Saccharomyces cerevisiae S288C: one gene and its partner. The protein of the gene in region 1 interacts with the protein of each later gene in a pairwise test. Each region holds a gene or a part of one and is shown in the gene's direction. Other genes may lie near its edges. The genes, in order: RDS1 and RMD6.

What was found.
Region 2: the proteins of RDS1 (region 1) and RMD6 interact in a two-hybrid assay, tested with the Saccharomyces cerevisiae proteins (one large-scale study listed by BioGRID).

Annotation. Positions count from the first base shown.
Region 1 is NC_001135.5:309,335-313,956, forward strand, and holds RDS1 (Rds1p), read left to right. Parts: upstream 1-1,623; coding exon 1,624-4,122; downstream 4,123-4,622. Other genes in the region: ADH7 (NADP-dependent alcohol dehydrogenase), read left to right, coding at 1-821; AAD3 (putative aryl-alcohol dehydrogenase), read left to right, coding at 4,556-4,622. UniProt on the Saccharomyces cerevisiae protein: Zinc cluster transcription factor involved in resistance to cycloheximide.
Region 2 is NC_001137.3:11,447-15,167, forward strand, and holds RMD6 (Rmd6p), read left to right. Parts: upstream 1-2,273; coding exon 2,274-2,969; downstream 2,970-3,721. UniProt on the Saccharomyces cerevisiae protein: Required for sporulation. Required for meiotic nuclear division.

The DNA of each region.
Region 1 (4,622 bases):
ACCGTGTTGGTGTTGGTGCCCAAGCCTTGGCGTGTTTTGAGTGTGAACGTTGCAAAAGTGACAACGAGCAATACTGTACCAATGACCACGTTTTGACTATGTGGACTCCTTACAAGGACGGCTACATTTCACAAGGAGGCTTTGCCTCCCACGTGAGGCTTCATGAACACTTTGCTATTCAAATACCAGAAAATATTCCAAGTCCGCTAGCCGCTCCATTATTGTGTGGTGGTATTACAGTTTTCTCTCCACTACTAAGAAATGGCTGTGGTCCAGGTAAGAGGGTAGGTATTGTTGGCATCGGTGGTATTGGGCATATGGGGATTCTGTTGGCTAAAGCTATGGGAGCCGAGGTTTATGCGTTTTCGCGAGGCCACTCCAAGCGGGAGGATTCTATGAAACTCGGTGCTGATCACTATATTGCTATGTTGGAGGATAAAGGCTGGACAGAACAATACTCTAACGCTTTGGACCTTCTTGTCGTTTGCTCATCATCTTTGTCGAAAGTTAATTTTGACAGTATCGTTAAGATTATGAAGATTGGAGGCTCCATCGTTTCAATTGCTGCTCCTGAAGTTAATGAAAAGCTTGTTTTAAAACCGTTGGGCCTAATGGGAGTATCAATCTCAAGCAGTGCTATCGGATCTAGGAAGGAAATCGAACAACTATTGAAATTAGTTTCCGAAAAGAATGTCAAAATATGGGTGGAAAAACTTCCGATCAGCGAAGAAGGCGTCAGCCATGCCTTTACAAGGATGGAAAGCGGAGACGTCAAATACAGATTTACTTTGGTCGATTATGATAAGAAATTCCATAAATAGTCTATATACGTAATATTTTTCAGAATCTCTTAAAATGCATGTCAAATCTCGGAATTTATCATGACCCATTACATAACAAGAGAAAAGTGGTTTGCATTGTATGTATACCTTAAACCAATTCTTCGGTAGTCACATGACCTATATATAGGGACATTCATTTCTTGAATAGGATATTTCTTAAACTTAAGGGAAATTTTGATGAAAATTTAGAATCTCTCGACAACAGTGCAGAGCAGTAAGTTTTATTCAATACGAAATGTGTGCAGGGTTTTACCCATTCATGTCGAGTACGTCTACATTTGTTCTGCGATTTAACTTAATACTTAGCCTACTCATATGTATCGAAGCCAAACTATTAAATCTGAAAACTGAATACCCATTAAGTAGGTACATTAATGCAATTTTCGTCCGAAAGGTAGAGTGTTAATCATGCTTTTACTTCGAAATCTAGAGTCCGAGCATGTCTGATGAGGTCCTCTTAAAGCACTTCAATTTTAAAAGAGAAGAGCGCAAATTTTTACAAAGAATGCCTATATTAATATACTGTGCTATCTAAGAGGATGGTTCAATGGTTTGAAATGAGTTGAAAAATAAAGATTTACATAGTAGCGTGTATTCTTCACATTTTTGCATTCGGTAGATTTTCTACTCAAGACCCGTGCAGATCACTATTACACTCATTATTACAAGTCATTGAGAACGAAATTTTGACATCATTACTAATAATGTTACTCATTAATACTTTATTAATGTAAGCGGTAGATAAACAAATGAACATGAAATTGGCTGCTGAAATGCTCTGATGGATTCGATTACAGTAAAAAAACCTCGGTTAAGATTGGTTTGCCTGCAATGCAAAAAGATCAAACGGAAATGTGATAAACTGCGGCCTGCTTGCTCGCGATGCCAACAAAATTCATTACAGTGTGAATATGAAGAGAGAACAGATTTATCTGCCAATGTTGCAGCAAACGACTCTGATGGATTCAATTCCTCTCATAAGCTCAATTTCGAACAGCAACCTGTACTTGAAAGGACTGGGCTTAGATATTCCTTACAAGTGCCTGAAGGTGTCGTTAATGCTACGCTGTCGATATGGAACGCCGAAGATATGCTAGTTATAGTAGGATTAGTTACATTTCTGGATTATCCTTTTGCTGCGCATAGTCTGGCGCAACATGACCAGTATATCAGGGCACTTTGTGCTTCGTTGTACGGCATGGCGCTTGTTGACTTTAGCAATTATGCTAATGGTATTCCTTGTGAAGACACATCAAGAAGTATACTAGGACCATTGTCATTCATAGAAAAGGCCATTTTTAGACGGATAGAACATAGTAAGCAATTTCGAGTTCAGTCTGCCGCCTTAGGGTTATTATACAATGCATTTTCAATGGAAGAAGAAAACTTCTCGACTCTTCTACCGTCACTCATCGCTGAAGTGGAAGACGTGTTGATGCAAAAAAAAGACTGTGAAATACTTTTGAGGTGTTTCTATCAAAATATTTATCCCTTCTATCCTTTTATGGACATTTCACTCTTTGAGAGCGATCTCACTAGTTTGCTTTTACAAGACGACAATAATCGTTGGAAAATTAGTACTGAAGTTAAAAATGTGCGCAAAAAAATAGAAACTTTGTCATTACTTACAATAGTAATGGCCATGGCCTTGATGCATTCAAAATTGGATGCAAATCTTCTTTCAATGGTAAAAGAAAATGCCTCCGAAAGTGCCAGGAAACTTTCTCTTTTATGTCATAAACTATTATGCCTCCTGGATGTATTTCGCTATCCAAATGAGAACACTTTTACTTGCCTTTTATATTTCTACGTTTCAGAGCATTTAGATCCCGAGAGTCCCGATTGTGTACTGAGCCCCACTAACTTGCTTACTCTGCACCATCTTTTAAATTTGTCCATGACCTTAGGTCTTCAATATGAGCCTTCGAAGTACAAACGTTTCAAAGATCCAGAAGTGATAAGGCAGAGACGGATATTATGGTTAGGAGTTCAGTCATTACTTTTTCAAATTTCTCTTGCTGAAGGTGATGCTGGTAAATCAAATAGTGAATATATGGAGGCATATTTAACAGACTTCGAAGAATATATTGAAGCTTCCTCAGAGTATGAAAAAAGTTCTGCGAGTGAATCGAACGTGCAAATGAATGATATTGTTTGGAATAAGTACAAATTTCACGTCATTTTGAGTAAACTAATGTCTGATTGCACTTCAGTTATACAACATCCGCAGCTTTTCCACATTTTAGGAAATATTAAAAGATCTGAAGATTTTATGGCTGAGAACTTTCCTACAAGTTCGATTTACCAACCCCTTCATGAAAAGGAACCAAATGCGATCAAAGTTGGCAAAAGTACGGTTCTCGATGTCATGGATATTCAAAAAACTGAAATATTTCTTACAAATATTGTGGGAAGTATGTGTTTTTTAAACATTTTTGATGTCCTATCGTTACATTTTGAAAAAAAATGTGTTATGCACTGGGAAGAATATGAAAAGAACTATCATTTCCTTACTTTGAAAAGTTTCAATGCATACTTAAAGCTAGCAGGGTTGATATCTGATTATCTCGAGAATAAGTTTCAAGGGAACATTTTAGAGAGTCGCGGTTATATCATAGATAAACAAATATGTTTTATGCTTGTAAGGATCTGGATGTTCCAATGTCGTATTTTGTTAAGGTTTTCATACAAGCAAGAAAGTCAGAAAAAATTGGCCTCTTCCAGTATATCCACTAACGATAATGAAAAAGAAGATGAAATGATTGTCATTTTAGAAAGACTTATTAAACACATTCGTAACCAAATGGCACATTTAGTGGATCTAGCAAAGGGAAAACTTCAAGATAGTTACTTTGGTGCTTACCAAACTGTTCCCATGTTTAGATACGTTGTGTATTTGATCGATGTTGGCGGCTTAGTATCTGTGACAAATGGGTTTTGGGATAAGATTTCCAGTGATGGTGAAATACCGCCAAAAGTACAACAAGCCGTGAGATTGAAATGGGGATTGGACTGCAATAATTCGAGAAGAATCAAACAAAAGTTAATAAGCAGCCAGAGTTTGCAGAGTTTCAATCAAGTTCTGTTGTGCCAGATGGAGGATGCAGTTCTCTCCAGTTCCTTCGCAATAAAAGCCAATACCGCTATGTCCCAAAACACGGCTGAAGAATTTTTCAATATCAGCGAAGAAGAGGCTTTAAATCAACTATTGGAAAACAACAATTTTGATGCCTTCTGGGATTTATTAGGTGAAAATCTGAGCGATATGCCTTCTTTGTGAGAATACGGATATTTGGAAAGGCTAAAAAAAAAAAAACAAGCCAAAAACAAGAAACACTGTTATCCTCCACGTTTTTTCCACTGTTTTAAGACTCGACAAGACGGAAAGATTCCTCACATTTCGCAGTGTTTCTTTTAACCTGCTCGTCAATTTGAAAAAATGAGCATGGTTAGGCAGGCGGAATGTAATAGGTGCGGTGCGTATAAATAAGTATCTCGGCCGTTCCTCTATTGCGCTCGGCCGAGATGTCCTACATGCATAAAATAGATTAAAAAAAGGGATCACGATACTCAAATATGCATATAATAACAACAACACACTTTGCGGTAAATAGAAGGATAATATCGTAATCTTTTGCTGGTTTCGATGATGACTTGAAAAAATTCAATTACTCTTTCGATCATCTAGAAGAAGCATATCCATCGTGCTTAAAATGATTGGGTCCGCGTCCGACTCATCTAGCAAGTTAGGACGCCTCCGATTTCTTTCTGAAACTGCCG
Region 2 (3,721 bases), on another chromosome or scaffold:
GCCAAGAAGCATTCAGTAAAATACATCTTCATCATTTACTGATAATACTCATTCAGACTCATATCATACTATTTCGAATTCATTATACATCCTCAAAAACCATATTCTTCAGTTGTAATAAAAGATAGAGCCTGCATTTGATTCGATTTCCGTAATTTGGGGGGCCAAGTCCTAGGTTGACTTCATCTTGGATGTCTATCGCGATGCATTTAGTGTGGCATAGAATTTCTCTCTTCACGAGCAGGGAAGGAATTGTATTATATTATTTGGTAATCGCCTAGTCACAGTCATTTAGAAGAAACTTAGCATCATTATTCCAGCATCATGCACCAGAACAGGAAAATGCCATTTCTAAAAGTATTCTCATAGCCATTAAACGATTCAATACTTTTTTGGTAGCTAAGTCAATGCCTCTCTGAATATTGTATACTATATGAATAAAGTGATCCCATAATCAGACTACCCAGCACTTAGTAGCGCATTTTAGAACTAAATATATATTGCCTTTTTAATACTGTAACTTGAGAATTCTTAATAAGGAACAACAATGGTCCAGAAGGTGTTCGGTAGAAAGATAGAAAATTTTAAACCATACACTATCAAGCAATATTATACTTGTTCTTTAATCAAGAGGGGATTGTACTTTTATTTGATTTGAGGCCGGGTATCTTGATTTCACTTATGTTATACTGTCTCTTAGTTGATAAATTCAATGTTACATTTGCTATCTCATTTTCAGGTCAGCAGCTATATTGACCTTGCTTACATTCAGCGCGTGTGAGGCACTACCTTTAAAACTCTTGTGCTCCTTATTCACCATAGTCTGTTATCCGTTTGTTCTTACGGAGGAAACTGCAATTGATCATTTATGAATCTTTTAGTGAAATTTAGACACTATTAAAATTTAATAATAGGCAAAGTACGTCAATTATCATTCTTGGTTCCTGAAAAGTTGAATCTGTTATGAAGTCTGATATTTGGGGTTAGCATTGTATACTTCCCTTGAGTAATGCATTATCCGTAACGCCACTTTTACCATATTCAAGTGCAGGTATATTTAGCATTTTTTACATATAATATACTGACCTCCGAAGCTAGGTGAGAGAAAGCAAAGGTTTTGAGGGCTATTTTCACCATTGGAACTAAGATCGTACACACTAATTAACTCTCTGCCGGAGGCGCGCGATATATGGGCTGGAGCGGTCCTGACTAAAGTCCTGCTGGAATATTGGTGAAGTGTCTCAAAAAACTAGTAAGGTCAATATCAGGGAAGGAACTATTATTGGCCGAGGCGGCAGCTAGGTTAAAGAATCTAGCCGTCAATGCAACGAAGGTTATCAAGTACATTCAGTTGGATACATTAAAAAAGTTGAATACAATATCAATTCTAGAAGATTGTAGCAAGTTTGGTGAGATAGTTTACGCCTATAATATATAAGTGCTAACTCAATGTTCAGTTAGTAGAATCACAGCCTGAATATTCTGTGCATCGTTTACTCAGGGACAGATGCGATCTCAATGCAGGGACGAAAAACAGTCTTATATGCGCACGCCAGCAAAATCTTTTTTTGCGGCACCTAAGATCTCTCGCATGATAAAAGCATAATATCTTTGCCCCACAAAGTCAAGGCGTATTGGAAAAGCTACTTTAGTTAATAATGAAATGATCGCCCATCCGGGTAAAAATGGTTACAATTCCAGTGTTGATTATTGTTCGTTTTTCAGAGAGAATAATTTAGATGCTCCTATTGAAGAATATCTTGTTAGCGCATAGGGCAATCATCTACGACTTTAACCGCAACTGCGTCTGTTACCGACATTGGAGGATTGTATGCTCAAATGACCCCTGTGGTGAAGATGAACACTTCTTGCACACTATGGTTGAATCTTGACGGTACCCTCACTCAGAGTTTTATAGTATCACACGACGCTACTCTCCCGCTTGTACATTCATTCTGGCTAGTTTATAATAACGTTAAGGAAATGACACCCATACCTCTCAGAAATCCAATTGGAAATAATATTTGTAAAAGCACGTGATATTGCCTTTTTCTTTTATCTGGTTACCAATATGGGATCAATAACTTTACTTTTGAAGATCTTGTTTTTCCTTCAGATAAGAAATCAAAAAAAGAATATATGCACAAAACAGTATGGATATAATACACCTTACTCTTGGTCGTGATTGAAAACGTAAGGTTCTACATAAATTATTGAGAAAGACTTATTTGAAGATATCGAGAGTCTATCATGCCCTTTGCACAACAAAACTAATGTCAGCTTGCCCTTGCAACATCGTTATACTCCCAGTCGAGATTTTGAAGAATTCATCTAAAGATACTAAGTATAGCTTGTATACAACAATTAATCGAGGATATGATGTCCCAAGACTCAAATATGGCATCATAGTTAGCCCTCGAGTGCACAGCCTTGAGACTTTATTCAGTGATCTGGGCTTTGACAAGAATATAGAGAAATCCTCGCTTTACTTATTATTAAATGATCCTACCTTAGCATACCCTAATTTCCATGAACATTTTGAACAGCTTAAAGGTGAAACAAACAAAGATTTATCTCTACCGACATATTATATTCCGAAGGTCCAGTTTTTGACAGAGGCATTCGATTCAGAACATACCCTAGCAACCATCGGCTACAAACCAAATAATAAGGAGAGTTATGAGATCACAGGTTTTACATCCATGGGTAATGGTTATGGTATAAAACTATTCAATTACAGTGTAATTCATATGATGCGGTCTCATAAGTGTAAAAGAGTGGTTGCAGATATTATCATGGAGCATGACCTATTGGGTTACTATGAAAAGAAGCTTGGCTTTGTAGAGGTGCAAAGGTTCAAAGTTCTCAAAGAACAGCACCAAGTAAAGGTATTTGACGATAAAGTTGACTTTACCAAAGACTTTCATGTGATCAAAATGATTAAAGAGTTGGGAAATCATAGATTGTAGTGGTATAGTCCCGTACACACTCTATTTGAATAAACTGTAGGTTCTGCTGAGCAACATATTGATATAAACAGTAAAAAGAAGTGGGTTCCTTGTTTTCCTGCAATTATAACTAACCGTGCTTACTACCAAAAAAAAAGTGCGTATAAATATTCACTATTTACAATGTTGAAGGTTCCAGATGGATACAGAATAGGAATCCTAAATATAAACACTATATTTATTTATTTTTTTCGAATAAAAGTCATGTTAGCAATATTTATATAGTTGATTTTCCTGCATTTATTATATAATTGGCGGCATAGTAACATCAAAAAAAAAAAAAAAAACATTCAAATTGCACTACTTATAGCAGTAGCATCTATAAAAGTTTTATGATATAAACCTTTACAGTTATCTCAAATGGTTTTGGGATTGTCCATCAAATCAAGCGTGATTCATCTATACGTTATTATTCTCCTACAACCCCCTTAGTTTGGAGAGCGCTTAGAGAAATAAAGCATCGATGTTTTCTTACCTTCACTAAAATCAAAATAAAAAAGCTTTTCTATAGTTCACGAATTACGCAATTTATTCTATCATCCTTAAAGTTGATCAATTGCGATTTTAACACACATTTTCAAATGTCATTTTGCGCTTGTATAATAGGTGCCATCTGGACACTTTATAAAAAATAAAGGAAAAGTAAAATATAATGCTGAAAATATAGTTGCCTTAAAATGCCATTGATATGATTTTTTTTTAACCTTAAATCT